Linked DNA regions of Drosophila melanogaster. The protein of the gene in region 3 interacts with the protein of the main gene of each other region in a pairwise test. Each region holds a gene or a part of one and is shown on either strand. Other genes may lie near its edges. The genes, in order: Eno, crq, CG14864 and hec.

Evidence for each region.
Region 1: the proteins of CG14864 (region 3) and Eno interact in a two-hybrid assay, tested with the Drosophila melanogaster proteins (one large-scale study listed by BioGRID).
Region 2: the proteins of CG14864 (region 3) and crq interact in a two-hybrid assay, tested with the Drosophila melanogaster proteins (one large-scale study listed by BioGRID).
Region 4: the proteins of CG14864 (region 3) and hec interact in a two-hybrid assay, tested with the Drosophila melanogaster proteins (one large-scale study listed by BioGRID).

What each region holds. Positions count from the first base shown.
Region 1 is NT_033779.5:1,723,908-1,732,284, reverse strand, and holds Eno (enolase), read left to right. Parts: upstream 1-2,648; 5' UTR 2,649-2,757; coding exon of another isoform or gene 2,758-3,456; exon of another isoform or gene 3,457-3,553; intron 3,554-3,821; exon of another isoform or gene 3,822-3,982; intron 3,983-4,052; 5' UTR 4,053-4,231; intron 4,232-4,404; 5' UTR 4,405-4,451; coding exon 4,452-4,639; exon of another isoform or gene 4,640-5,532; intron 5,533-5,629; coding exon 5,630-6,944; 3' UTR 6,945-7,517; downstream 7,518-8,377. Other genes in the region: CG17652 (uncharacterized protein), read left to right, coding at 22-141, 205-405, 469-882; CG31937 (uncharacterized protein), read right to left, coding at 1,336-2,301; Rrp40 (ribosomal RNA processing 40), read right to left, coding at 2,758-3,456; Rim2 (replication in mitochondria 2), read left to right, coding at 8,357-8,377. UniProt on the Drosophila melanogaster protein: Enzyme of the glycolytic pathway. Glycolysis is essential in glial cells but not in neurons; neurons rely on the citric acid cycle for their energy needs, and on lactate and alanine secreted into the hemolymph by glial cells to fuel it.
Region 2 is NT_033779.5:446,837-454,947, forward strand, and holds crq (croquemort), read right to left. Parts: upstream 6,189-8,111; 5' UTR 5,741-6,188; intron 4,467-5,740; exon of another isoform or gene 4,394-4,466; intron 4,043-4,393; 5' UTR 3,959-4,042; coding exon 3,830-3,958; intron 3,705-3,829; coding exon 2,599-3,704; intron 2,485-2,598; coding exon 2,394-2,484; intron 2,335-2,393; coding exon 2,185-2,334; 3' UTR 1,418-2,184; downstream 1-1,417. Other genes in the region: ex (expanded), read left to right, coding at 1-413; shv (shriveled), read left to right, coding at 6,426-7,434, 7,494-7,549.
Region 3 is NT_033777.3:15,265,340-15,270,624, forward strand, and holds CG14864 (uncharacterized protein), read right to left. Parts: upstream 3,091-5,285; 5' UTR 3,034-3,090; coding exon 1,390-3,033; 3' UTR 1,345-1,389; downstream 1-1,344. Other genes in the region: ATPsynO (ATP synthase, oligomycin sensitivity conferring protein), read left to right, coding at 322-351, 588-1,031, 1,094-1,249; Zip88E (Zinc/iron regulated transporter-related protein 88E), read left to right, coding at 3,424-3,672, 3,742-4,001, 4,065-4,266, 4,398-4,776, 4,846-4,856.
Region 4 is NC_004354.4:12,950,500-12,959,318, reverse strand, and holds the start of hec (hector), read left to right. Parts: upstream 1-1,856; 5' UTR 1,857-2,101; intron 2,102-4,735; 5' UTR 4,736-4,779; coding exon 4,780-4,954; intron 4,955-5,485; coding exon 5,486-5,786; intron 5,787-6,341; coding exon 6,342-6,432; intron 6,433-6,497; coding exon 6,498-6,589; intron 6,590-6,690; coding exon 6,691-6,817; intron 6,818-6,910; coding exon 6,911-7,012; intron 7,013-7,255; coding exon 7,256-7,374; intron 7,375-7,498; coding exon 7,499-7,572; intron 7,573-7,635; coding exon 7,636-8,015; 3' UTR 8,016-8,819. Other genes in the region: CG32642 (uncharacterized protein), read right to left, coding at 1-37.

The DNA.
Region 1 (8,377 bases), on a different chromosome or scaffold from region 3:
GACTACCCACCCGCAAATATCATGAAAATATCTCGTTTTAAGAAGTCGCACAAAACTCTGGTGTTTTTTGCCAGCAATTTCGACTACCGGGAACCCTACCAAGTGCTAATTGATGCCACCTTTTGCCAAGCAGCCCTTCAGGTGGGTTATTGCTTATATCATCTCTAGCACTTGTTGATATCCATAGTTAATTTTTACTTTTAGCAAAAGATTGGCATAGATGAGCAGATTAAAAAGTACTTCCAGTGCGGCGTTAAGCTACTGACCACCCAGTGTGTTATTCTGGAGTCGGAATCCCTGGGTGCTCCTCTCACTGGAGCCACATCCATCGTCAAGCGATTCCATGTCCACAAATGCGGACACGAAGGAAAACCAGTCCCCGCTTCCGAATGCATCAAATCGATGGTAAATTGAGAGTTACTTGATTTCAAGTATGCTATAGCCATAAAATGATTACTTGCCTTTCAGACCAAAGACAATCGCTATGTGGTTGCCTCGCAAGATCGTCTGCTGCAGGAGAGTCTTCGCAAGATTCCCGGACGTTGTCTGCTCTATCTGCACAAAGCCACTCCCGTCTTGGAAGCACCATCTAAAGCCTCCAAGAAGTGGGTGCAACGACGGGCCAAAAACCTAATGCTGGGCAAACAGGTCGAGAAAATCGACTACATGAAGGAGAAGCAGGGACTGAAGCCAGCTGAAACTGCAGTCAAACCCAAGAAGCACAAAGGGCCCAAGAACCCCAATCCATTGTCCTGCAAGAAGAGCAAAAAGGACAAGGCGAAGCAACAGCTCAAAGGAGTTGAGCAGACCGCAATAACCAAGGCGAAACGAAAACGAGTCAAGATCCCAGCGCACGTCAAGGCAGCGCTAGGAAAAGATTAGATTAGAATGGTTGATCAAGTAGATAAATATAAGATAATGCAAGGTAATCTGCAGTCTTGACAAATCATTATAATGTGGGAGGAGCTGCTTTAACTAGCCACCTGAGTGTAATATGCCCTCTTCTATAATGGCAAAAAAATCTATGCATCTGAACCAGATGATAGATTACTAAATTACTGGTTAATGACTTAAGTTAACTAGAATATTTTAGAATTCATAAATCTTAATTGATTATTAGCTTACCACAATATTGCTCACCAATTGAATGGGAGGAACTGTAGAATCCCACTGTGCCTGTGAAGATTATCGCGATTGAAACGCACACTCAACTTAATCTTGTGCACATATTTATATATTTTAGTATATAGTTAAGAATTATACAACAGTATAAAAGATGACTGAGAGCCGTTTGGAGCAGGAATAGGGAAGGGGCGAGGCACACCGGGGTTGTTCTCACAGTTTGCCCTCGCGAATCTTGTTCAGCGTCTTCTCGGTCATCAATTGAGCCAGAATCTTGCTCAGCGTGGGATTCCGGGCGCAGTAGGCCAAGAGGTTGACGGGAAAGAGGCCGCACCAGGTGAGATCCATCTTATTGGCCAAGGCAACGGCGAACAGATCGCCACATCTCTGGGCCGTCATCCGTTTCTGATTGGCCGTACTCAGACCCACCTTTCCGCCCTGCGAGCCAGTGAAGGCCTCCTGCAGGAAATCGGTGGCTATGGGTCCCGGTGCGAAGAGCGACACATCCAGCTTGCGCATCTCCACTTTCAGGGAGAGCAAGTAGGCGTTAAGGGCGTGCTTGGCGGCACAGTAGGTGGGTGAAAATGGCACTGGACTGAAGCCGGCGATGCTGGAGGTGGCAGCGATGTGTCCTCTACCGCCGTTCTGCTCCACGAAATAGCGCACCACCAGGCGGCTGAGGTGGACCACCGCAAAGACATCCAGTTCGAACAGCTCCCGGTCCACCTCGATCTCGACTTCGGTCCAACTGGCTCGCTGGGATCGGCCAGCATTATTGACAAGGACATCCAGTCGATGAAAGTGATTGAGCACCGTGTTGAGATGCGTCTTATGCTCGTCGAGATCGAGCATGTCCATTTGAATGACCAGCACGTCCTTGGTGGCCAGCAGTCCGCGAGCTGCAGCTAGGCATTCCTCTTGCACTTGCTCCAATTGCTCCAGTCGCCGGGCACTTAGCACCAATTTCACTCCATGCCTGGCCAAGCTGAGCGCCAAAGCGCGGCCAATTCCGCTCGAGGCACCAGTTATCCAAACCACCTGTCCGCGCATCGACGACAGCGAGACTCCGAAACGGGACTTGTACCACAGGGCCACATTGCAGTCGAGCAGGATCCAGAGGAGCACGTACACGACATAGTACAGCACGAGCAGGAGCAGCAGAAACTCCAGGAAGCTCATCTCGTTGGCTCTGTATGGCACGGCTGGGTCGGAGAAACCTTTGTCCTCTGCCGCAACGGAAGGCACTGAAACCTGTTCTTGGCCACACAGAAATCACTGCGAGCGGGTCTGATCGATCAGCTGTTGGTGGGCACCAGAGGTGACGCAGTGACTGCGGAAAGTAGTCACCTTATCTGACATAAAACCCTTATACTTGGTTTTTGAATGATGCTATATTATTTAAATACCTTTTGGTAGCTAGGTAAGGGTAGTACTATCTTTCTTGAGAGAACATGTAGAGCATAATCCAAGATACGAAAAACGCTTCCATCTGCTCATCTCTGATAGTTTTTTTACGTAAACGAATCAGGGCTTCCAACACACTGCCTTTGCGCCAACATTCACATCAAAATTCAACCCCATCAGTTTGGCTAACCATTTCTTTTTATATAAAAGTAAGTAAACTAAGAACTAATCCTAGGCCTGCAGGAAGTCTCCGAGATTGCCACATATTTTGTCGATTTCCGCACATCCCGATTGCTCCAGCGCTGAAATGGCATTGGCGAGGGCCACGGTTTCTTTCAGGGAATGGGCCTTCAACCATATCCTGCCGTTGACTCCCACAGCGATCTCGTAGGGCAGTTCCCGGGTAAGAGCGGCGAGAACAGGGCAGTTTTCCCGCAGCAGCATCCTTCCCAGATTCAGGCTGCACTTGAAGAAGAATCCATCGGTGAGGACGCCCAGTTTGCCACTTTTGCCCACCGAGTTGACGCAGACCAGCTCCGGTTCAATGTCCGCGCTTGCATTCAGGACTCTCGCGTAAATCAGATCACCGGGGATCAGATCCGGGCGATTCTTCTTGCTGGCCGCCTCAAAGGCGAGATACGATATGGAGGCTGTGTCCGTTGCTCCGATGTCCACGCGGTACAGATCGCCCGCCTTGGCTCGCACAATGCCCAGAATGAGATCCCCGCGTGCCGGGATGTACCTTCTCTGGTAGTTGTCCACCCAGAAGGTGCCGGGTTCCTTGTGTCGAAGTGGGCCCGCCTTGCTAGCCACCACCGTGTCATCCAGACGCCGCAGTCCCGGTCCGAGTATCACCCGCTTGCTCTTGGCCAGCTCCTCAATGGCCGCAATTCGCTCACCGGGCATAACTATTGTGCTGGTCGCGCTCATTTTAATGTTGCTTTTACGATTTGAAAACTCCAAACAAAAAATCCGCGTGTGTCTTTCAAAACATATGGTCAAGTCGAGGACTTTCCAACACTGCCATTGTCAGCCCTGGTCTTAAAGTTAAATTTAACAGTAGTTGTAAAGAACATAAATATTCAAATTATTTTTGCCCCTTCTTATTTTATTATTTTCAAAATGCTTACGATTTTAATTATTAAGATGAACTTAAAAAAGTAACAGAAAAATTATATTTAGTCAAATTGTAATTGTTCTATATTACTGAATGATCTTAAAAATGCAAAGAAAGTTTTAAAGAGCTAACAGCGTGTGGGCGGCAATGTTAACCAACACATATGCAATTTTTTCCCGATCAGCTGTGCTGCTATAAGCATAATCGTACGATTTGTTAAAATCCGCTTTGCATTTATTTGTTCTAATTTATGGCAGCTAAAAAGCGTGACTAACCACAAGTATGTGACTTTGAATGACCCGATTGTCCAGAAACCACGGGAACATTTCATTATCATTGGTTGTTACACTTCTCTTGACGCCATTTGATTGTTTATGCTTTATTAACGAGAGCATTTATTATTATGTAGATAGACATGCAATCCACAGCTACGTGTGGATCCCGATTACTCTAACCTTGTGCGAAGGTCAATTTTCCCCAAAAAATATAGGAAACGTACCAGGGAAAACAACAAAAAAGGGAAAGCGCACCCCCACACTGAAAACCGGCGAGCACCTGGAAACGCATACATATAAAAGGAGAGTAAATGTAAGTGTCCCTCTCTTTTCCACACTTAGAGATGGGCAAAAATACATCGCCTAAGCTGAGCTTTTAAAATTTATGAATATTAAATTTATCATATAGCTTGCAACAGAGCTATAGTTTCATGTAAGGTAACTAAAATATATATTTTAAATGATATTTTTTACTCCTTTATCAAGATACAAATTGGTAGCACTTTCGCCGCCGTCTTTTACACATTCAAGCCATGTCTTGGACCGCTTCAGTTTTCTTGAGGACTTCCACCACTAGCATGAAGTTTCTGCGTCTGCGCTGGCCTCTCCCCAGAATTCCCCAGAATAAATCGGCAAACGTTGCGCCGCGTTTCAGAAGCAAATCAGCAGTCAGCCAGCTCTCATCTGGATTTAAATTTGTGCAGATCCGCAAAAGTACTTGGTATGTATATTGCTAGACTCTTGGTGTGTGCTTGTGCATCCAGCTTAGGGAAAATATTTAATTGTTTTATCTGCGAACTTCACAAAGATCACCCCAATCGAAAGGGCTTGAAAATCGAGCGTTTTTTGCGAGCGATATCCGCGCGATTATCTAACAAATGGTGCTGTGCAAATTTTCAAGTGTCTCGTTTACGTATATTTCCAATCGATTTAATTGCACAAATCTAATAATTTCAATTGACAGGCATTTGTTGTATCGCTGTAGGGAGATACTTCCGTTTTTCGCAACTTTTCCACGTACTGCGGCTTCGCTGGACGCCTCACTTTGGGTCTGACCTTTAAAAGTAGCTTAGAGGTCATTCGGTTGTTCGGCGAGAGCAAACTGAAAACTCTCCCACTGAGATAAGCGGAAAAGCGGGAAATGCCGCCAGTGTCAGTGACTCTAAATTATTATAGAAATATTTAACTGAAATTTGAAGACAAATTAAATATAGAAAACTCAGGAGGGGCATTTCGAGATTATACCGTGGAGAAAGTCACACCCGAATGGGGATATATGTATAAGTTTACACCACTCACAGCTCAAATTGCAAGTGACTTACATGCTCACAGCTACAATTCTTTGCAAAAAAAAATAATTTTTTATTAATATCTAACCATATTTTGAGAACCAAGTCCAAAAGTATGTCAAAGGTGTATCTCCCATTTCCTTTCTAGTTCGTATTTCTTTTTCGACATATTTCCGAATATTTCACTGCATCACGAAACATATCATTTAACTGTCCATTTGGAACAATTTTAAATATAAATAAGCCCAACTATTTAAGTAATGGCGGGGATTTCGCAAATATTGTGGAGCACATCCGCCATAAAATCTGAATGGCTTCATCTGCGGTCAGCTATTTAATAGAACACCATGCCTAGATTTAAAGTCCTGATAACAGACACTAATTCGCCCTCGTGGACTTTGTTTTTTGTTTTTTGATTTCAGTGACAGCAACGAGATGACCATCAAAGCGATCAAGGCCCGTCAAATCTACGACTCCCGTGGCAACCCCACCGTGGAGGTCGACCTGACCACCGAGCTGGGACTCTTCCGAGCCGCCGTGCCCTCCGGCGCCTCCACTGGCGTCCACGAGGCCCTGGAGCTGCGCGACAACGACAAGGCCAACTACCATGGCAAGTCGGTGCTGAAGGCCGTGGGCCATGTGAACGACACCCTGGGACCCGAGCTGATCAAGGCCAATCTGGATGTGGTTGACCAGGCGTCCATTGACAACTTCATGATCAAGTTGGACGGCACCGAGAACAAGAGCAAGTTCGGAGCCAACGCCATCCTGGGCGTTTCCCTGGCCGTGGCCAAGGCTGGAGCCGCCAAGAAGGGCGTGCCGCTGTACAAACACATTGCCGATCTGGCTGGCAACAAGGAGATCATCCTGCCGGTGCCCGCTTTCAACGTGATCAACGGCGGCAGCCACGCCGGCAACAAGCTGGCCATGCAGGAGTTCATGATCCTGCCCACCGGCGCCACCAGCTTCACAGAGGCCATGAAGATGGGCTCCGAGGTGTACCACCACCTGAAGAATGTGATCAAGGCCAAGTTCGGTCTGGACGCCACCGCTGTGGGCGATGAGGGCGGCTTCGCCCCCAACATCCAGTCCAACAAGGAGGCTCTGAACCTGATCAGCGATGCCATCGCCAAGGCCGGATACACCGGCAAGATCGAGATCGGCATGGACGTGGCCGCCTCCGAGTTCTACAAGGATGGCCAGTACGATCTGGACTTCAAGAACGAGAAGAGCGACAAGTCGCAGTGGCTGCCCGCCGACAAGCTGGCCAACCTGTACCAGGAGTTTATTAAGGACTTCCCCATCGTCTCGATTGAGGATCCCTTTGACCAGGACCACTGGGAGGCCTGGTCCAACCTGACCGGCTGCACCGACATCCAGATCGTGGGCGATGATCTGACCGTGACCAACCCCAAGCGTATTGCCACCGCCGTGGAGAAGAAGGCCTGCAACTGCCTGCTCCTGAAGGTCAACCAGATCGGCACCGTCACCGAGTCCATTGCCGCCCATCTGCTGGCCAAGAAGAACGGCTGGGGCACCATGGTCTCCCACCGTTCCGGTGAGACCGAGGACTCGTTCATCGGTGACCTGGTCGTCGGTCTGTCCACCGGCCAGATCAAGACCGGAGCTCCATGCCGCTCGGAGCGTCTGGCCAAGTACAACCAGATCCTGCGCATCGAGGAGGAGATCGGCGCTGGCGTCAAGTTCGCCGGCAAGTCGTTCAGGAAGCCGCAGTAAGCGCAGGGCACTTCGAAATTCCAACCACACCAGCCCCATCGAATGAGATCTGGATCTTGGAGAGGGAGCTGGACGCAGTAGATCCATGGAAAGGCGGCGGTGCACGTGTTCGTCAACCTTTTACGTTCGGAACTTGTGTCTGGCGCACAAATACATCAGAATTAAACTACCAAACCCATTTGCTGTCTCTATGCTTCGTTCTTAGACATTATTAATTAATGCTAAACCTTGATCTAATCATTATTTATAAACAAAAGAATAAAAAACACTATGTGCAAGATATTCGTTCAGTTGCCGAGAGCTTTGAATATCTTCAATGTAATCGCTGTAATCGTTATGAAATTATAAATTGATCTACACAAACACCAAATCCACAAACAGACAAGTTATTCACTTCAAAAACGGTTATGAAACAATTGTTGAGACATAGAATTTAAGCGAAAGCTGTTGGAATATTCTTATCGAATATACACGGTGTTCAATAGAGATCTTAATCAGATGGAATAGTACACCAAATATTAAACATATTCAGATTTGTTAGTTGATGTGAAATAAAAAGTATAAAAGTTACTGAATTCTTTTCTTCGATCACTTGTGGCGTTGCCAGATAATCAAGTAAACTCAAGTAAGGGCAACTAAAGTAAAGGCAACTATCTTAAAACATTTTCTGGATTTGGATTAAGATTGAATGGATCTGAATTATTCATTATCTCTGAACTGATGAATGAAGTTATTAAACTTTGAATACGATCTTTTTTCTATCTTTATCTTTGCTTTCCACCAATTAGTCGAGTATTTCAATAAGCTTTTTCAACTTTCTGTGAATAAAATTGAATTTCTAGGGTGGACCAAAATGGCGCTCAAAGTTTCGCACAGAACCGTTGAATTCCCCAGTTTGTTGGTATTTTTTAGGTCGTTTCTTGGCGCCTCGCAGCGGCGGTATGCTTCCACAGTCGCAGTGCGGTCACTCTCACGGACGTGTTTTTTTACATCGGATCGAAAATAAATTAATGCAAAGCTAAATCACAAACGCTAGGGATCGGCGAGCTCGAAATCGAATCAGTGCACCGGCCGACCGACGGACTTTAACTGCGCGCAAGCTAACCGTAGGTTAAGTTAACGCTCAGCACTGCAACCACTGCAGTTGCATAACCGTTGCCGAAAATCAAGTCGAAAAGTCGGAGAATCGCGGCCAAGCGAAAGCCCCAAAAGTTCAAAGGACAATAGAAAGTGGCAAGAGGAAGAGAGGAGAGCGTGCTAAGAGCCCCTCCCCCTGGGGCCCCGCCCCCCACACCTCCGCCCACAAAGTGCCTTAACAATATAGTGCGTTTTGCCAAAGTTAAAACCAAGTGCGCGTCCAAGTAGCCGCCCATTTCGGTGGAGCCTATTCCGGAACTGGGAAGACAACGAAGATGGCCCAGAACACGGCCGAC
Region 2 (8,111 bases), on a different chromosome or scaffold from region 3:
AGGCTTCAATGGTAGCCCAGTCTCATGCCCAGGCACAGGCCCAAGCGCTAGACATTGCGCTTCTTCGGGAGAAGAGCAAGCATCTAGATCTGCCGCTGATCTCGGCGCTCTGCAACGATCGCTCCTTGCTGAAACAGACTAAGGTTGTTATAAATCCGAAGACTGGCCAGGAGATGCCCACTTCCAGTGCGCAACCTTCAGGTGCCACCACAAATGGAGTTGCCAACTCCTCTGCAGGAGCAGGAACCCTAAGCAAGGCCAGAAAAGGATCTACCGTAAGCCACCGTCATCCGCAGGACAAACTGCCGCCTTTACCTGTCCAACAATTGGCGGAGGCCAACAACTACGTGATCGATCCCGCTGTCATGATGAAGCAACAGCAGCAGCAGCAGCAGCACAACAAGACCAGCTAGACTCGACAAGCTAATTGGAAACCGGAACGGAAGTGGACATTGGGGGTCCAATACGACACTCTTCTCTCTAGTTCGATTGCTGTTCGAAGTGCTGATGTATGAGTGTGCCCAGGTGAAGAGCTAATTCTGCGTTCGGAAATTTGCATAGATCGGGTGGTGTAGCGTTATATAAATTCGATCACAGTGTTTCGAAGGGTAAAGATTCGCCGGGCACAAAAGGGTAAATGTAAACGAAAACCCACCGTGAGAAACCATTTGTCAGAACAGCAGAAACAATAGCTATTTAGTAGGAACTAACATGCATTTAACTAGCGAAGACAGTTTTTTAGAAAAACACAAACTAGCAGGTCCACCAACTTCAGATGGTAAAATACACGAGCCACTGAAACAACTGAATATCACAGAGTCAATACTTAAGCCTACAGGACGTGAGCAACGTAACCTCAAAATACACATTCAAATAATCAGAACCCAGTCTAGTCACTTAAGGGAATTGGTAACGTAACCACAGCACAGACCACAACATGACACAACATCGGAAATAGAGAGGAAGCTTATCAAAATGGGAAGCAACAATACTCAAGTATAAAATACGACCACTACCTAATTTACTAAACTACATCGTAGATCTTTAGTCTTAGCTGCAAATACTTAGTTAGGCCAGAAATGCGAATACTTAAAACTAACTACTTCCGCCCAAACAACTGTGATTGATTTTTATTTAAACTTATACTAAATTTATAACTATTTTAGTCACCAAGAACAACGCAACATATACTATGCAAATTTTTTAGTACGTAGCAACGTCGCTCTTTATACACACACACACATACTCACAACGAATCGGGCCAGCGGTAGAATCAAGTGAAAAGCATTCAAATCGGCTATGAAATGGTTTGAAATGGGTTTGCTTGCTCCGATCGCTGGACGAAGGGAACTAAAGAATTTCAAGAGTGCCTAGACTTGCCCTCCATCCCCACCATAGTAATAAGCGAGAGATGATTATCATTTATTTTTTGTATCCACTTTGTTTATTATTTTTTGTTCGATTAATAATCCCCCACTGTTTTTTTGGATGTGTTAGTGTGCGTGCAAAAATTAATTTGAGTTTTTGATGGATGTCACAAATATTTGCGTAGATTTTTCTCGACTAAAAGTCTATGGCTAAATTGAGGAATGTGATCTTTGAGAAAATGTAAAATTTTTGCCATATATCTTACATATACACCAATATATATACATATATATAAATAAATATATATACGTATACAATTATTTTTATTTATTAATTTACAAAACAACATTTGAATAATGCATTTATAAAGCAAATCGTTAAAGCATCCAACAATCGTATACGATAAGTAAAAGTCCTGCAGAAAAGCATACAGAAATTGTAAAAAACTATCTTTTCAAAATAAATGAAAATTCAAATAAAAACGTTAAAATAAAATGCACGGAGTGTTTTAGTTGTATGAAGTATTGTTTATCAAGTACGATAACTTAAGTCTCAAACAGAAAGTTTCAACTTGTGAATGATTCGTGTAATATGCAGATAGAGTAAGGTTTTTTTTTTAGAGTTAGAGTAGTTTTTAGTTTTTTTTTTAGAGTAGGTTTTGCTATCACAAACTGCAAGACGAACGTCGATTCGTATCACTTACATATTACATAACGCATAACTGACAAAGAACAGCATTTGACGGGCGACTATCAGAATGAACTAGGAGAGTTAACAATTCCTGGCACTTTGGCAAAGCTTAAAAACTATTTTGCTCTAGTTGGTAAGTATGTCCTCATCCTCGGGAGTTCGCCGCACCCACTTTTTCGTCACAGTCAGCGTGATGCCGGTGATGAGAAAGACACTGGCAAAAGCTATCATGGAATAGCCGAATATGATTCCGTAACTGGACAAATTAATGGCCAACTGAAATGGAAAGTATGGCACTTAAATGAAAGACATTTCAAATATGGATTAGGTCTTACCTTGGCCTTCGATGCCAATTCGGAGGAGAGCTCTGCATACTGATCGAACCAGAACATGGGCATTAAAACCTTTTGCACTCCACGATATATGCTGCAAATAAAATTTACTTTATGACTTACATTTTCCTTGAGACCTTTGCTTTTATGTACGTAATTGTATGAATCGTATGAGTAGTTTTTATCCATGAACTTTTACTTTACTTACTCGAAGTCGTCATCGGGCTCAATCATCATATTAATCTGGATGCGTCCATGCACTTGGACAGGCACTCCAGTAATCGGTTCCACGGCTAGGAAGAACTCGTGCTTCTCCTTCTCCGGCTTCATTCCACTGACAGCATCAACATACGACTGATCCGCTAGGTAAAAGTGAGGGAAGGAGGAGTAAATGGGTGCTTTGTCTCGGCACGCCTTGCACTCCACGACACCGGTCTTGGGACATTCATCAAATCGCGCCTCATCACAGAAGCACGCCTGGTTAGGGTAGTTTTCTCCGGAGTCCAGAGTCTCCTCGGTGCCTACCCACTTAGTGGCGGTCAGGCCGTGATTCTCGTATGTGCCCCGGGGCCGGAGGTTCATAAATCTGCAAGCATCGGTGGCAAAAATCGTAATCTCATCGTTTACATTCATCTTTGGCGGGAACATGTCGCCCGTGGTTCCATTAACAATGCCACAAGGCATCTCGTAAAATCCAGTTTCTGATTTTCCATTCCAGTGGGTAAGTCTACCCAGATTAGATATATCGTCAGTGCCCGTGTGAATAGTAAACAAGCCATCGTAAGTCAGCGACTCATTGCGGTCCGCCAGCCACCCGAAGCGTTTGTAGGGTATGTCGATCTTTGTGGTGTTGAACAGGTTTAGGAAATCGGTAATGTTATCCTGGTAACCCTCGAAGATCCATTCGCCCACCGGCTTGGTTACGTACAACTTTCCGCCTTCATGGTTCAGCATAAAGTTTATGATTTTTTTGACGATCTTGCGCTGGTCTCGCATCTCATCCGCTACCGTGGCGGTAATGGCATGGGCAGCAGTCACCATGTCGTCCAATGTGCCATTGGATCTCTCCGGATCAAAGAACCATGTGCGGCGCTCATAATATGCCACCGTTGCATTATCGTAAAACGTATAGTTCTCCTTCTTGTGCTTTTCCAGGAAGGTGTACGGACCCATTTCCACGAAGTTTGGCTTAATGTCCGGGTTCCTTATGTCCTCGGGATTCGTCCAATTGAACATGTAAAAGCTCAGGTAAATGGGGATAGGTGCCTCCAGCCAGCTTTCATAGGCATCAGTCCCGGGCTTGAGGGTAAGGCCCTGGGTAAAGATTAAGTTCATTTTAGTATGTCGAAATGAAAATCTTTTTTTTTTTTAGTTATCGTTCGGTAAACATATTTCCCTGAACCTGTAATACGCAATCTCGGACGGCTAAATATACTTACATCCTCTACAAGGTTATCTGCAATACCCGGCCAGAAGACCACGATTAGTATTCCCAGCAAAAGGAAAACCGATCCCAAGCCGAAGACCCAGACCTTTCGTTGAGTTTCCCCGCAGCACTTGCAGCACATGGTGGATACGTAGGATTCCAAAGGTTCACGCTTTTAAGGAATAGCCAAGGTGGGAATAATCCAGCCCTAGGCAGTTAGTTGCATCTGGAAGTGAAGACAGTTTGTGGGGTTATTTTTCCTTGTATAATCAATGTCCATAATCCGTATCGAATTTTTATTAGTTTATTTCCCGGTACACCCATCCTGGCACCCTGCAGAGTTGGTAATTTTGAAAATAATAAGACCAAGGCTTATCGCCGGCTGGTCCCTGCTTAAGTATTCGATAAGCATCGGCGATTATAAGTGTATATTTTTGAATATATTTTGCAGTCCATGACAGTTGGAGAAGATTACGTGGGACAGCCCACTTATCCGCACAGTCAACTTCAAGTGCAGACATCCGCAGATCTATTCAGTTTTCTAGCACTTGCCACTGTTTAGGTCGCCTAAACTTACTAGTTTTCAATCAAAGGGGATCGAAAATATTCCGGCCTTAGCACAATCGGAACTATCAAAACCGTACGCGTCCCCTGGCAGGGCGAAACTGGTGGCCAGCGGTCTACTGTGTGTCTTTTAATGGGTTCACTTGACGTTCAATTACCACTCGGTTCGTTTATTAATCTCTGGACTTTGCTAGTCGGGAATATTTGCTTGATTGGCATTAACTTGGATGCGTTTGGAGAAACACAAAAAAGAGATCACTCTACTCGAATTCCTCGACTTTCAGTTACTCGTAACTCAGGTAGCTGGCTGCCACAAAATTTTAATATTTTGGTATTCAGAGTGGGTATGTTGCAAATATTTGTAGCATAGCGATAGAAATGAAAATCTTATCTTTCTAACATTTATAGTTCGCGAGATCAAAGCGTTCATGCGAAGGCGGATGGCTAGATCGACTCGGGTGGTTATTCTGATCGAGTGAGTAGGTTTTATGGCAGATTGATTTACAATAGTTAAAATTCCTTTTAATATTATAAACATTTATAATTATGGTAATTTCATGCCTAGATGTTATTTATGTCCATGCTTGTCTGCAATTCAAATTCATTCAAGTCTAAGATAGTGTTTAGTATCGTTATCTGGGTAATACCCGCATTTCTCGGCTATTTGCTTCTGTGGTTGGTTGGTCAAGATGTTCTCACAAGGGGTTCCTATTTATGGCACTGATAAGATTAGCTTTGTGGAGATACTGATAATTCGGTCGAAATATGCTTTACTATACCATATCAGCCTTGATCCGTCCTGTAATCCAAAGTTCTTTTAATGCAATAGGAACGGGGCCTGTTTTTATCGTAAGTCTGGTGCATATCGTATTGCAATTTCGATTCCCTGCTTTGTTTCCTCCCGTCGACTGACTCAGTCTTGTTTTTGTCGGATTATTGGGCTGGCTCTATACTACAATGAATATTTCTTTGTTTAACGACTGATAACAGGCAAAAAAGGGGGTCTGGAACTACAGTAGAGCCTTTTGAGCTTGTACGAGTCCCAGTAGGATAACTCGAGAATTCATGTTAACTGTTTAAGGCGAATTAATATTAATAATAATTGATTAATATTAAATGGTTTTTAAAATAGTTTGTTGTAAACTGCATTGTGTATGCACTATATATGTTTACTGCATGTTGTCTCTCTTTTGAGGGCGATAGCTTGCATCCCGTGAAATGTTTGCTTTCTGGTTGAACTTAAACCTCGATCAACTTGCGCTTAAAGTGTTGACATCACCAGTTGCGAATTAGGCGTACAGTTATATTCACGTATTATTGCACATTACCGGCTGCATAATTAAAGTGATGAATTACTCACCTTTTATCTCACACACAACTACGTCTTTTAGCATTAGCTTCTGATGGCTCTGTTATTGTTTTGCTTTGGCCTTGACATTTATTATGCCATAGTTCGGAGTAAATTTATTTTTCTGGGACTTCCCGCTTCGATGATCGCTTAGTCCCTTTACCTTTGGTGCCTGGAATCGCAAAAGTACCGTACGAAAGGGATTCAAATTGTCAGACTTCCCTTCTTATTACTTTTACAGCTAAACTCAAGCGTGGGAAGCGCCTTTGGAATTGATCTGAAAGCTGCTATCCAACTAAAAAAAAGGCACTTTCGCGTTGCCGAAGAGGGCAAGCAGAGAAAGATAAACTGCAAACTTGCAGTTTGCTGGGCTAAATTGGATTAAACAATTTATTTCTTTATCTTCGCTGGGCGAGTGTGACCAGAAGCGTTTATATGCGCTGTAACAGCACTGTAAGCAACGTTGCCACAGTTTTTGGATTGACTGTAATGCGAAACAGCTGTTCTGTTAGAGAAGTGGTGACAACCCTAACGACAGTGCCAACCAATCAGCGCAGACCACGACTCACACACACAAACAAAGCTGCCAGCGGCGACAACTACAATTTTTTTACACTTTTGCCAGCATTTAAAATCGTATTTCGAATCAGCTGGTTAAAAAGAATGAATTGCTGAATCAAACAGGATCAAAAACGAAATGCAGCTTATCAAGTGCTTGGTTATAATTCAGCTGTCCCTCTTGCTGGTGGAGGAGTCATTTGCCGGCCGGGACTTCTACAAAATACTGAACGTAAAGAAAAACGCCAACACGAACGAAGTGAAGAAGGCGTATCGCCGTTTGGCCAAGGAGCTGCATCCGGATAAGAACAAGGACGACCCGGATGCCTCCACAAAGTTCCAGGACCTGGGAGCGGCCTACGAAGTCCTCTCCAATCCGGACAAACGGAAGACCTACGACCGCTGCGGCGAGGAATGCCTCAAGAAGGAGGGCATGATGGATCACGGTGGTGATCCGTTCTCTAGCTTCTTTGGGGACTTCGGCTTTCACTTCGGTGGTGATGGCCAGCAGCAAGATGCTCCGCGAGGCGCCGATATCGTAATGGACTTGTACGTTTCCCTGGAGGAGCTATACTCCGGAAACTTTGTGGAAATTGTGAGGAACAAGCCTGTAACGAAACCCGCCTCAGGCACCAGGAAATGCAACTGCCGCCAGGAGATGGTCACCCGGAACCTTGGACCCGGGCGCTTCCAGATGATCCAACAGACGGTGTGCGACGAGTGTCCCAACGTGAAGCTAGTCAACGAGGAGCGCACATTGGAGATCGAGGTGGAACAGGGCATGGTCGACGGCCAAGAGACGAGGTTCGTGGCCGAGGGGGAGCCACATATCGATGGGGAGCCCGGCGACCTCATTGTGCGGGTTCAACAAATGCCGCATCCGCGATTCCTGCGCAAGAATGATGATCTGTACACGAACGTGACCATCAGTCTGCAGGATGCCCTTGTCGGCTTCTCCATGGAGATCAAGCACCTTGATGGACACCTGGTGCCCGTCACGAGAGAGAAGGTAACGTGGCCCGGCGCTAGAATCCGCAAGAAGGGCGAGGGCATGCCCAACTTTGAGAACAACAACCTCACCGGCAACCTGTACATCACCTTCGATGTGGAGTTCCCCAAGAAGGATCTTACGGAGGAGGACAAGGAAGGTTAGCATATACATTATCACAAGAGTAATTGTTTCATTAATAAACGTTTCTAATTCTAGCGCTCAAGAAAATACTCGACCAATCCTCCATCAATCGCATATACAATGGACTGTGAATACCCATGTTTCATCCCCAATAAAAGTGCTCGCCGGCTGTACTCTAGTTTTTAAATGCCTAACTAACAGGGCGACTTTGATTTGGGAACGCCCCTAATTCAAGAGATGACTTTGTTCAAAAAAGTTGTGCGAAAACAATTTAATTTTAGTTTAGAATTTTGTAAAATAGCAAAAGTGTAATGAGAGGGAACTATTAAGGCGGTTCCTGCCGACAAAAAGGAATTGCAACAAAAACCAACCCCCACAAAATAAAGCGGATTTAAATTATATACAACTTTGCGGAAGCTACTATTTTTGATTTACTGTTTTTAAAAGGGATTTTTTGATTGTCTCAGAAATAATTTAATTTGAAAACTATTATATTAAGACAATCGATAGGCTGCATTATTGCAACCTTGGCTCAGCTGTCGATAACTGGCGCAGGAATCCGCAAGAAGGGCGAGGGCATGCCCAACTTTGAGAACAACAACCTCACCGGCAACCTGTACATCACCTTCGATGTGGAGTTCCCCAAGAAGGATCTTACGGAGGAGGACAAGGAAGGTTAGCATATACATTATC
Region 3 (5,285 bases):
TTAATATTTATTAATTAATTAATTATTTAATAGCAAATTAGAGGTGTTACTATTAAGGTAGATTTTGGGTACCCAGAAATACCTATCTTTTAATATATCCTTTAAGAATTACTTTAAAGTCAGAATATCATTTTTAAAATGAAAATTCGCTTTTATTTAACTAGCTAGTATAAATCTTAAAATCTAGCTATTTTTTGTAATCGATAACTGTCCTGCAACCCTTACGCCATTCAAAACAACCCTGCCACACGTCGAGTAGCAAGTAACGTAGCCCTGGTCACAGCTGAGATTTTTAGCTGAAAAATTGTCGGGATAAAAACGATGGCCTCTATTAACAAATTGGCACTTTTGGTATGTTATAATGCGAATAAATAGAAAAAAGTGAACAAGCTCCGGTCAATGCCAAGCCATTTTAAGTGCATGTCAAATTTTTATTGCGTTTGCAACCCGCTGTCGCATATGTAGAATTATCTAACGCGCGTTTCTTGGTTATGTAATTTTTGCCCATCTTAACCCACGAACCGCGGGTAGTTTATGTTTAATAAGCCGAAAAACTTACCAAGTGCTCTTGTTTGCTTATCCCGCAGAGCCGCACCCTCAGCTCCGCTGCCGCCCAGGCGACGGTGAAGCCACCAGTGCAGGTGTTCGGTCTGGAGGGTCGCTATGCTACCGCCCTGTATTCGGCTGCCTCCAAGTTGAGCCAGTTGGATCAGGTGGAGAAGGATCTGACGGCCCTGCAGGCCACCATCCGTAGCGACAAGAAGCTGCGCGAGTACGTGACCAGCCCCATCATCAACAAGAAGGTCATGGCCACCGCTCTGAAGGAGGCATCCGAGAAGCTCCGCTTCGCCCCGGCCACCGTCAATCTGTTGGGTCTGCTGGCTGACAACGGACGTCTAAAGAAGCTGGACACCGTGATCAATGCCTACAAGACCATCATGGCCGCACATCGCGGTGAGGTCGTCTGCGAGGTGGTCACCGCCAAGCCCTTGGATGCGTCCCAGAGCAAGCAGCTGGAGGGTGCCCTTAAGGTAGCTACGCCTAGCTTCTGTCTTGTCTCACCCACTCAATTTATTGCTCATTTGCTTTGCAGTCTTTCCTGAAGGGCAACGAGTCTCTGAAGATCACTTCCCGCGTGGACCCCAGCATCATTGGTGGCCTGATCGTTTCCATTGGCGACAAGTACGTCGACATGAGCATTGCCACTAAGGTCAAGCTCTACACCGATGTCATCCAGACCGCTGCCTAGACTCTTAAGGATTTGCTCTTGATTTAGATGGTCAAACTGAAAGTTTGGTATTGGAATTCAAGCGGTAATAGCGAATAAAACACTCTTCACCCTTTGAAAACCAACAAAATTTATTCAGAGATATGCGCACTAGATTTGGTTTATGATTTAGATATATTTTTAGGATCCGGTATATCTGTGCACTGCAGCTCCGCAACCTTGTGCTGGATTGTCTGCTGCAGAAGGCTGTGCTGCTCCAGCAGATTCTCCAGCTCCTTGATGCGAGATCTCTGCAGTTCCAGAACCTTGGTGAAGTTACTCGTGGCCGGGGACTCAAGCCAGTTGATTAGAAAACTATTATGTTGCTCTTTATTATCGTTGGCGTTTTGTTGAGCATCAAAATTACTCTTCGTCTTGCTATCTAGTGTACTCGCATCCTGCCCTGGGTTGGGGCTGCAATCATTCAAAGGACTCTCCTCCAGGACCAGAACATTGGTCTCGTTCGAGGATCGACAAACTCTGTAATTGGGCTTGTCGATTTCCGGGAACACAGCTCGCTCATCATTTTCGGTCAGATCGGACTCTTGAACGCAAATCTCTGGAGGCGGCGCCATGGGACGTTGCTTCGCCGGAGAGCAGCACCCATCTTCATAGTCATTATTCCGGGTGCCGTTCATAAGCAGCACGTTGATTGCATTTGAAGTTCTTCTCTCGCCGCCGCCACAAGTAAAGTTATTCGAATTATTGGTGTATCCGCCAGATAAACCTGTCGCTGAGCTTCCAGTTTGATGGCTGAACGAGCCGGTCATCTTGGTTCGCCTAACAGGCGAAGAGCTCTGAGTCTGCAGCGTCACCGTTGAGCACTGCACTTCCTGATCCTTCAATTGCTGGGTGATGCACGTCTGGCAGCATTCGCTCTTCAGCTCCGGCTTTTTCTTCGTATTCTGCTGGTTCATCGAACTTTTAATTTTGTTGTTACCTCGTGAAGTTGGCGATACCGGGTAGTTCGGGCTACTGCGGAAATCATCTGCTACAGTTTTTATGTCCGTTGTCCTGAAAGCTGGACAAGTGAGACGTTCACAGGAACTCTGTTTTTTTGGGCTGCCTTTGGAATTATCCTTTCTTTCTTTATACTCTTTATTTATACTTTGTTGGCTGCCTGAATCCTCTTCTAGAGGGGCTACCGCTTTTTTGATCCCTTGCACTGGACAGAAACTACAGGTGCATCCATCACAGGTGCAGTTTACAGCTCCAAAGGTCGGTTTATTTACCCTTGGGCTTAATTTCATAGGTGGATTATTTTTGTTCTCTAAGTTTGTGGCCCTTGTTTGTGGATTGGGATACTTCTGTCCCATTTGGGTGTATGTATTGCCCTGGAACATGCTGTTGCAGGTGTTTCGAAAACGACAGCAACCATTCGTACATCTGTTCGCGCTGCTGAATTCCTGCCTCTCCGAGCCGAGACTCTGTTTGCTTTGGTTCTGGATCCGCTCGTTAGTCTTTTTGCTGATGGAATAGCCATGGCCAGCGTCCGATGCCGAAGAGCTCCACCTGCTCCATTCCTGCAGGCCAGCTTGAGTCCTTGCCCTGCCAGCAGCACGAGACGAGCTCTCCGATTCCGAACCTGATCCGTGGCCATCCAAATGGGAGGCGCAAACGCATCCGTGCCGGCATAGCGATTCGGGGTCGACGTCAAAACTGCTGAGGTTGGCCAAGTTCTGCCACCGGCGAGCCTCCGACATGTTGCGCGGGTAGACGCACTGCTCGCCCGGCTCCTGGCCACAGATTATACAACGACGATGCATTTTCCAACGGACAACCAGGACGGAAACGGTAAAATTTTGAATTTTAACTACAGGAGCATTTGTCGAAGTGCAAAACTATAATTGGAGAGGGTGCCTACCTTCTTTTATTGAAATTCTTAATGGTGGTGGTTGGTAAAAGAATAGTTCTAGATTTAAATGTTTAAATAAAATTAAAAAAAAAAAAAACCGTTTAAATGAGTGTGATCTGAAAGGCGCACTGCTGAAATGCCTTACTTTTCTGTGGCCCCCCCATTGTAAGGCGTTTTGGTATTTCGCACGAAAGCAGCTGCACACACTTCGCAACTGTTTAGTTTAAAAATAGTAAATGCAACGAACTTTTGTGTGTTTTACTGGCCCCCTTCTTGATGACACAGTCTGGCAGTTGATACAATGAGCTTGCCAACCGACGGTCTAAACATGGAGATCACCCCAAGCCCCACCCTGGCTGCCACGAGTCGCGGCGACTTGGAAAAAGTGCTGGCTATGCTGGTCCTCGGACTCGGGAGTCTTTTGTTCGGATTGCTGCCCGCCTTTATATCGGAACGGAATCGTCGCCGCTTCCCGCTGACCGCATCCCTGCTCCTGTGCTTCGGAGCGGGCATTCTGCTAGCCACCGCACTGGTGCACATTCTGCCCGAGGTAAGAGCTTGGACTGCGATCGTGTGTGTGGCTGCAATTTGATAACCTGCTGACTTACGCATGCAACAGGTGCGCGAACAAATGGACTCGAAATTCGCTGAGGTTGCCATGTGCGGCGGGTTCTTCATCATCTACTTTATCGACGAGTTCATACACTACTTCTTTGGCGAGGCCATTCAGCACACTCATGCCCACGATGCAGAGACTCCAGCAACCGAGCCACCAAGACGTCCCACTAATGACAATGGTTATGGCGCAGTGGACGAACGAGCGCCCCTTTTATCAGCGGAACCCAATACGTCACATGGGCATTCGCACCATCATAGCCAGTAGGTTTATTGCATTTCCCTTCCCGCAGCCAAAACTAATTGCTTTGTGCTTCGATTACGCAGCGATCATGACCACAATCACCCGGCCAGCGCATCTGGCTGTAATGATGCCAGTGTAGAGGACGCCAACGCCCGCATCTGCCACACCAGCCACACGGAACCCTGCGCCCAATCCATGACAGGCACTCTGGGTCTCTTTGTCGCCCTGTCACTGCACTCGGCCATCGAAGGACTCGCCATCGGCGTTCAGAACTCTTCCACAAAGGTCTGTGCCGCCTGCCTTGACATAGTTAGACTAGATCGGCTATAGTGCGCAATCTTAGGCAAATATTGAAGCAAAGAGATGCGAGGGCTTAGTCCAATTAGATAACCGGAATCTGCTTTGTCTCGTCGTAGGTTCTGTTTCTTCTAGGGGCCGTCGCCTGCCACAAGTTCGTGATGGGCTTTTGTCTGGGGCTCGAGTTCCGCTCGAATCCGCAGACGAGTTTTCGCGCCCAGTTCGTCGGCATTTCGGTGTTTGCCCTGGGCGCCGTCATTGGCATTGGCCTGGGCATGCTTATCGTGGACGTGCCCGCCGCTTGGTCCAGCAAAACTCTGCCTATCGTCCAAGCTCTGGCCGGAGGCACACTCTTCTACGTCACCGTCTGCGAGGTGATACCGCGCGAGAAGGCGCGCTGGCACTCGAACTCAACGCGACGCTGGGCGGGATTTGCACAGTTTGCAACTGTGCTCGCCGGCTTTGCGACCATGTGCATCATAAACTTTTATCTTTCTGGTGCGTAGCATTATGTGATTTGCATTTCCCTTTCGACATTGCTGACCTATTTTCTTCGCGCCTTTTCAGATGAGGATTAGACATCTTTTCGTTGAGAAATCGTTTCAGCGCTGTGAGAAAATGTGCCGCTTTTTAAACTTAGAACACTTAGGATAATATTATGGATTGGCAGCTGTTAATCTCTTGTGTAAGACTTGTTACTTGTGCATTTCCAACTAATCTTGTTTTAGGTACATTGTCGATCTGCCGTAGGATAAGTAAAAAGTTCAGTCTTCTCGTCTACATTTATATTTTCTCTTTCTCCAAAGTTTGTGTTATTTTTTATGCTTTTATTATATGTAATAAACCTTACAATTAAGTTGTTAATCAAAAAAAGGGCATCCTCTTTTCCTTTTGATTAATCTTACTTAGCCAACCATTAAACGCAATCATTTTATTACTTTCTGGGGACATCATGTCACTGTTTTAAACGAATTAAAACAACATCTATGTAACTACATCTCTATATG
Region 4 (8,819 bases), on a different chromosome or scaffold from region 3:
GAGCTAAGGAGCTGGACTGAGACCTTGGATGGAACATGTTGCCGATGGAACTGATGTCGCTGACCATGTAGATCCCCGCTTTTATGGGTCAGCGACACGACTGAGAAATGGGGTCTGGAACGTGCATGTGATTACGGTCTTTACATCACTCTCGAGCATTTTTTTTTATGTTTAAAACCCCGTCTCCCCGGCTTTTATCACTACGGAACGTGCGACCGAAGTGCGGTGACACTATGCCATAGTAATATGGTATTACCTAACAAAAAAATCGTTGTCTTTGCCGCTGTTTAAACTCTCCAACTAGCACTTTAAGCTCGCTCAACTGGCGCCAGATTGTTCTTAACGTGGCTAACTGGATTAATGTCGATAGAACCTGACCTAACTAATCTTGCACTCTTCTTTTGAAGAGAGTGGCATAAAAAAATGTCGTCATGCTTGTATTAATACAATGCTTATTAATCACAAAGGTCCAAATGTTACCTTAGTTTAGCCGAAGTTTAATCAATCTTGGCTTATACAATTACAGTGATTCAACTTTAAGTACAAGCCAGGTAACCAAGTAATACTATGTTATAAGCAAACAATTAAAAGGTGTAAACTTGTACCCAATCTCGTTCTTGCTCCTGACCATTCATAAAAGTAAAGTGCACTTACATATATTTGCGGACATGTGCAGAAAATTATATTGCAAAGGCGATTTGCCTTAAATTCACTTTTATGGGCGGCATGCCATTTTACGAGCTGAGAAGCCAGAAATTTTCACACCACACTGTGTGCTGCTAATTGTGAAATACATTTTATATGAAATTCTCTTACATTTTGTAAAGAATTCTTTATCAATCCTAAGTCGATGTCAATTTTGTCTAAAGAAACGTCAGATAACCGCATAAAATATTTATACACGCTTGCTATGCAGGACATCATCAGCTATTCAGGAATAAATTTTATGAAAGTTTGCTGAGGTATTTTACATGAATCGAGAATTGAAGTGAACTGAAACGAAGTATTCACTAAAGTTGAATCTTAAAGGTTACTGCATGATAATAATAAAGTTGCATTGCAATCGCATCAAATGCTTTTAACTGCAGTTTCAAAGTGAAACAAACACCAGTATCCTTGTACTTGAGAAGTCTTAACCCTTTGTTTGCCCAATTGTTATTGCTAAAGAATTGCTATCAGGTCGTTTTATTATATACAGATTGTATTGATGATAAACGAGTTAAAAATTAAATTTATTGGTTTCTATAGATTTTTTAATTATTTTATTAAATTAATAAAATATTATATTAAAATATTATTATTACTTCTATCCTTATAAAAACACGATTAAAGTAAGCCAATAAATATATATTTTTAATTGGATAGACCCAGTTGGGTTAAATAAATTTCTTTAACAAAATTCGAAGTCCTTAGGAATTTGTGGGTCCCAGCTGTGTGCGCCACGCCCACCTAGAAAACTGTTATACACGCCCACGACAAGCAATTCACAAAGGCATAGAAGCAGTGCGCCGACAACTTGTTGCTGGCAAGCAGTGTTCGGCAAAGCAGTACTCGTACACTGAAAGAAAGTATAAGTTCTACACTATTCAAATAAAATCGATAATGTATTCTCACTTTTAATGCCAAATATTATTAGAAGAAGTGTGCTAGAACTTAAATTAAGATGAAGATACTTTTGACATTTGTAGTTTAAATATATATTTTTTAATGCAAATACCCACTTTCTCACTTTCTCTTTTTTCGTACATTTCCTTCAGTGTGCCAGTATGGTGTATGGGCGTGAAAATGGGGAAAATGGGGAAAATATGAGGAAACTGCCAGCCACATCGGCAGGCGGTTTTTGCCGGATGCCGTACCATTTGCCAGCGGCACGCGGAGCAGAGCGGTGCGAAAATCGGAGTGGAGCAGCCAATTTTGAATACCGATAACATAAAGCGCATTTTTTGTCCGTGTTTCTAATATATATTTTTTTTTTTTTGTGTTTTTGTGTGCTGTTGCTGTACGTGACGAGCGGTGAACTGAAACCGAATCAATTGTTTAAGTTTTCAATGAATGGCAGTGGCAAACAATTGAATGAATTCAATTGACTGTGGGGCCCCATGTAAGTGATCTGTTGGCACCTGTTTTTGCGTAAATTCTCGACACCTTTTATGCGAATATCAGGTGAATATAATTTTGAAACATATTTGAACAAAAAATATTTCAGTAAATAATTAGCATAATTACTGCGCCGCATGAGACTTCATTTTCGAGCATTTAATTAAGTAAACAATCGAATTAAATATTTGCGTACACAGTACAAATAAATAATTCGATTTCAAGCCCCATCCTATTTGCGGTTGTTTTATGCGAAAAGTTTTTGCGCTACACAGGGAAAATACGGCAGTGATTGGCAGGAAATAAGGAAATGAGTGTTATAATTCGCAAGGTTGGCAACTTTTATGCCCAGTAGATCCGTCCGGGGGATTGGAATTCCGGATGATGATTCGTGGCCAGTCCGGCGTGCGTAATTGCATTTGGTGACCCAGGCGATGTGGATGAAGTAATTTGTTATTATAATTGATCCGCCAAGAATGGCCGAATAATGTGGCATTATTTCGCATGTCCGCTTTCATTTCGAGTGCGTGTCCTGGTTTATGTGTGTGTGTGTGTGTGTGTTTGTGTGCTAGTCGGTTTGCGTGGCATTTCCGTTTCCGGCCTGCAAATGGCGCTAGCATCATTAACCGCATTGACGGCTTTTCCCACCGCCTCTATTAATTTTATTTCTCTTTATTTTTTTTTGTGCTAGGCTGCTAGACAAAACAATTCATCATCAATATTCAGCATGTGTACATATAATTATTCCTCTGGCAGCTTTTTGCTCCCACCCCTATTGATTGGCCATTTGTATCTTTTGCAGCGGGCGGTCCTGTCGCCAAAAAAACAAAAGAAAAATAAGTCCTTTCTCTTTCGCCACCCATTGTTGACAATAAATTTCAATATCGTGCATAATTTATGCAAGCAAACGTTTTCAAATTATTTGTGTTTTATGAATGCTCCAAAATGAGTGCTCCCCCATTCCTATGGCTGCTATTCCTCCCCAAGTATTCAGCATCAAAAACTATGCAAAACAAAACAATTTGCCAAAAATGTTGCAGATGCTTGCGTATTCCTTGAAGCATTTCCTTAGTTTTGTGGAGCAAAATCTTGGCCACACAGCGCGCTTCAGATTTTCTTGTAATTTCCCTGCATACTTTTTTTTTCGCCAAGTCAGTAGTCGTTAAAACAAAACGGCAAGGGAAATTTTATAGTTGGGCAAAGTAGTTTATCTAATTTAAAATTGTTTAGAACTGGCTGTAGTAAAAGTAAAAAAGTAGTAAAAGTAAAAATGTTGTCTAGTTTAGTCAGTGCTACATTTTCTCACTATTGCTGAGAGCAGCTTGCTTGCAAAATGCTTCTTTAACTAACAGCGAAAAGTAATTGCGAAATATTCTAAAAAAAATATACTTAACTTTTTGTGCTATTAGATGAGCCATAATTGTTTTAGTAAAAACATATTTGTAGTCGGTATTTCTTTATACGCATTTAACTAGCGTGAGAAATGGAATCTGTTGAATAAGCGTAGTGCCACTTAAAGTGTAATTTGCCTCATAGCAAATGATAAAGCGGGAATTCTGCAATGGATTTAATTCAAAGGAGGGGGAATGTGAATGCAATTAATGCTCATTAGTGCTTCAAGACAGCCATTTGAATTGATGGCCAACAAAGGGCGCTCTAGTCCTTGGTCCTTCCATCGTCATGCTCCGCTTACCTGCGGCTAATTGCCTGGCCGAGACACTTGCAAAAATATATATAACATGCAAGAATGTTTAGCCAGGCGTCATATCCATCATGGGAAACTGTCCCAGTTCGGTGTAATAAATTAATGCCGCAAATTAAAGTTTAGCTTGGGAGCGGGAAAATCATCTTACTTTGTATGTATCGTGCATGCTAGATTTTCCAGTGCCTGGTGCAGGCTTCTGTCGAAACTCAATCAAGTGAAATGAGTTTTGATTAAAAATATAACCAAGTTAGGCAAGAACTTTGCAGCTCATCCCGCCTTTTGGGCCACGTGTTCGGTGCGGGTGTGTGAGTGTGTTTATGTGTTTGTGTGTTTGTGTGCCCCCACGATCAAAGTGCATTTCATTTGAGTTTTTAACCCGTGGCATTTGCTTTGTCTCTCTGTGCGACGAAATGCAATTAAGTTCGCCCAACCACGGTAGCAGAAATAGCGACACAGTTAAGCACCGCCATTAATTAGACAATAAACTGATTTACAACATATGAGAGACGAGTAGGTGACTCGGCTCACACGACACTCAGGTGCTTCGATATTTTGAGTGTGTGTGTGTGCCCCGTGTGGATATTCCATTTCCTTTGGCACCATTTCCCCGCAGACAGGACCCCACAACAAATATCAACCCAACTCAGGCAACTCTTTGAAGCCTAACCAAATTAGAAATGCACACACGAATGGACGGCCACAAGGGACTCAAGTTCGCTTCGCTATGGCGAAATACAGTGAGAACTAATGTTAAATATAAGAAAATATATTTAAATCAGAATAAATTTTAAAAACTAGCTCATACAAGTTTCTATGGGTAAGCAACACTTGTTTAAAACCTTTCAAATTGCCTCTGATAAATTATTGCAGTTGATTATCCTATTTATCCCGTAATTCTTTGAATTATATTTATATTATTATATTTTTTTTTAGTGCATTAGCCGTTGACAAGAGTTAGTCACGTTGAATAACCCACAATGGCGACAACCTCTTCAGATTCGGAGTCGCAAAATGTGGATGTGGCATCGCAGGCCCAAACGCAGGATAATCTGCGCATATTTTTAAAGCATTTGTATGCGGAGTGCGTGTTCCGATACCAGAATGTCACATACGATACGGACGACCCATCATTTTCACTTGGCCCAGCAACAGGTGAGTGGCGGCCAACAGGCGTATACGTGATTTGCCGCGAAAAAATAGCAGAGGCATAAGACAGATAAGAAAGAGAAGAGAATTAAATTAAATTACAGCCCATCTGATTTCATTTAATGCATTTCAAAGTAATGTATTTAAATATATACAAAATCATTGACTTACTTCTTGGGGATGCAAATTTAAACATGGGTTTTCGTTTCAATGCAAATCATTGGCATCTCAGGACAAATTTATAAATTTAAATAGCACTCAACACCTTTACCAAATGTACATATATTTTCAACCAGAATTTATGAATTATACCCTGCTATAAAGAACGATGATCTATTAACTATCTTAAGCAAGTTATGTACATTTGAAATACCACTTTATTTTACATATGTAAAGCAAGCATGCAATTGAATTGAACTTGAAAACTGAATTACATCACTTTCAGTTATGCAGCCCATAGATACTATTATTAAAAATGCTATATTTTTATACATTAAAAAGTAAACCCATTTTAATGGCACTTGTCGCCGTGCACAGACTACGATTCCGATTTGCCGGAGAACTTTAGCCCAGTGCCGCGATATCTGGAGAATGCCGCGATGAACGAGGGCGTTATTGACATGCGAAACGTGGACGAGGAGCTGGCGGAGAAGGAGGAGCTGATGGCCACCGTCGTCAGTGCCACGATGGCCACAAATCAGAAGGAGAACCGACTCTTTTGCCCCCTGAACTTTGACGGATATCTCTGCTGGCCAAGGACTCCGGCCGGCACTGTGCTGAGTCAATATTGTCCCGATTTCGTCGAAGGATTCAACAGAAAATTTCTGGCCCACAAGACGTGAGTTAAATGCCCAATATGCCTGTATATTACGCCACCACGAATAGGATAGATTTTCATTCCGTTCAGGATTTCGCATGGTCAAATAAGCTCTGCAATATGTAATATTCGTTTGAGCATAAATTCGAAAATATCTTGCCATATTCGGCATTTGCTTTAATGTGTTCTGTGTGTCATAAAATACAATGTTTATGTATGAGTGCGCTACAAACAGGGAAAATCCTATAGAGTTTACATTCGTGTCTATTACATAAACTCGCAGCATATCTCAGAAAAAGATGATGGAAAATGAAAGAAAAATAAAACCTTCTTCAACTCTTGCAGAGATAATCTCCCTAAGTGTACTGTAGCAGCACTCTAAAACTTGCACTACATGTATGTATCTCCAATTTAATGGATAGCGTTCATCTCACTTTACACGCCAACTGAGCTCAGCTGGCTCCTGGTAAAGTTGGGTAACTTGTGCATTGTCAGGCGCTTTGTTAGAAATACCCCCTTTACCCATCAGTCCGCACTTAGCCAGTCACAATTATCGTAAGCATTTCGCATTCATAGCTGCCTGGAGAACGGCTCCTGGTACCGTCATCCGGTTAGCAATCAGACCTGGTCCAATTACACCAACTGCGTGGACTATGAGGACCTGGAGGTAAGTGCTTCGGCGGCATCAAGCGGGTGGTACATGGGCATTAATCAAGAAAGTTGCCACTGCAGTTTCGCCAGTTCATCAACGAGCTGTACGTGAAGGGTTATGCCCTCTCCCTGCTGGCCCTGCTCATATCGATTATTATTTTCTTGGGCTTCAAGTAAGTGTTTGTCTACGACCCACACGGTTCCTTTCCCTCCGGTAACTGACGGCCGGATATCCCTTTTCGTTTCTTTCCGTTCCGTTCCATTCCGTTTGCAGATCCCTGCGCTGCACCCGCATCCGCATCCATGTACATCTGTTCGCCTCGCTGGCCTGCACCTGTGTGGCCTGGATATTATGGTATCGTCTGGTGGTGGAGCGTTCCGAAACCATAGCCGAAAATCCGGTAAGATGCACTGAGAAAAGTAACTATGAAAATAACATAGCCCTACAAGTAGCTAGGCAATTATACAAAACCATAAACATAACTAACTTTCAGCTGTGGTGCATTGGGCTGCATCTGGTGGTGCACTACTTTATGTTGGTCAACTATTTCTGGATGTTTTGCGAGGGCCTGCACCTGCACCTGGTGCTCGTTGTGGTGAGTTATCCTTACTCGTCTGGCAATCTGGCAATTGCCTGCACAAGTCTGCATTCTTTATGGGCGACTTCTGTGCATGGCAGATGTGATTTCCTGCAGCCGCTGACATGGCAATGGTTCACCCCCAGCAATTTGTCTGAGAGCAAATCGCAACGTTGGCCAACTGCTTTACGTCTGCGTCAAGTTGAGATGTCAGGAATGTCCGTTCAGATCCTGACGCCCCTTCTTCTTTCCATTCGCCAGGTCTTTGTCAAGGACACGATTGTGATGCGCTGGTTTATTGTCATCAGCTGGTTTTCACCCATACCCATAGCCATCGTCTACGGTCTGGCCAGGCATTTCAGTAGTCCGGACAATAAGCAGTAAGTTATTTTCACAATTTTACACAAGACATAATCCTGATTGATTTGGTTTTTGCATTGCATTTATTAAGAGATTACATTCTACGCTATATCCATGGTAACATTTCTTTTCACATTATTGCAGCTGCTGGATAACTGACAGTCTCTACTTGTGGATCTTCTCGGTGCCCATAACTCTTTCGCTGCTGGCCAGCTTTAGTAATATGCATAATTTTCTTTAAAAGTACAATATTGCTCAGCTATATGCATTTTACCCAACAGTTTTTCTGATCAACGTACTGCGAGTGATCGTGCGAAAGTTACATCCCCAGTCCGCCCAGCCGGCACCGTTGGCCATCCGGAAGGCGGTTCGGGCCACCATTATTCTGGTACCGCTGTTCGGACTGCAACACTTCCTGCTGCCCTACCGTCCGGATGCCGGCACCCAGCTGGACCACTTCTATCAGATGCTATCGGTGGTGTTGGTCAGCCTGCAGGGCTTTGTGGTCTCCTTCCTGTTCTGCTTCGCCAATCACGATGTCACCTTTGCCATTCGCACGCTGCTGAACAAGTTGCTGCCCAGTTTAGTGACCCCGCCGCCGGCCGGGAGTAATACTGGACAGATGGCCACGACCACGCCCAGCCGAGAGTTGGGCGTTTAAGGCGTACCGCGCGAGGGTCGATCGTAACATTGACCGCATCGCCGAGCAAAGATTTTGAAGACCAGTCCGGCACACTTATTTCATGATAGCAAAATATTTTTTTTTATAACTTAATTTTGTTAAAATGCATACTGATTTCAATTATTTAAAATGTTCCTGTTATATTTTTTATCCTGGGATACTATGCCCGAAATGCATTTAGAAAAGAAAGGTTCTAGTCATATGAATTATTGATAAAAACAAATAATTGTATGCTTGATCTTTCTAAAAAAAAAGTTTCTAAAAAAACTCTGTTAAGAATTATCACTTTAAAACTTTTTACTGAACAAGTTTTAAAATATATTTTGAAAAAGTATATAAAGCATAGTGTTAAGCATTAAGAAAAAAACATGTAAACAAAATCTAAGCTTGAACCCAGAAAAATTTAAAATGTGTCAGCCGTATAAATCGTTGTTTAAATTTAACTTAAAAATATTTAGGTTTCACACAGCTAACCCTAGAAAAATATCTATGCCATATCCAGAGAAAATGCGGGAATCAAATGCCAAGAATTAACAGGTTCCCCCCGATGATTTTATGCGTAATATTTTATAATACAAAATATATTCAAATCCTGAGAGGATATAGAAAGAGACGCAGAATAATACATACGTACCCGTGTACCTAAGGATATTTTTTTTTAAGCCCTTAAACATTTAATAATGTTAAGATAAATATATAGATATATATATATGTAATGTTTGAACCTTTAATGTAGCTGACAGATATTAATGATATTTATTCAACTTAGCCAAGCACACTTAC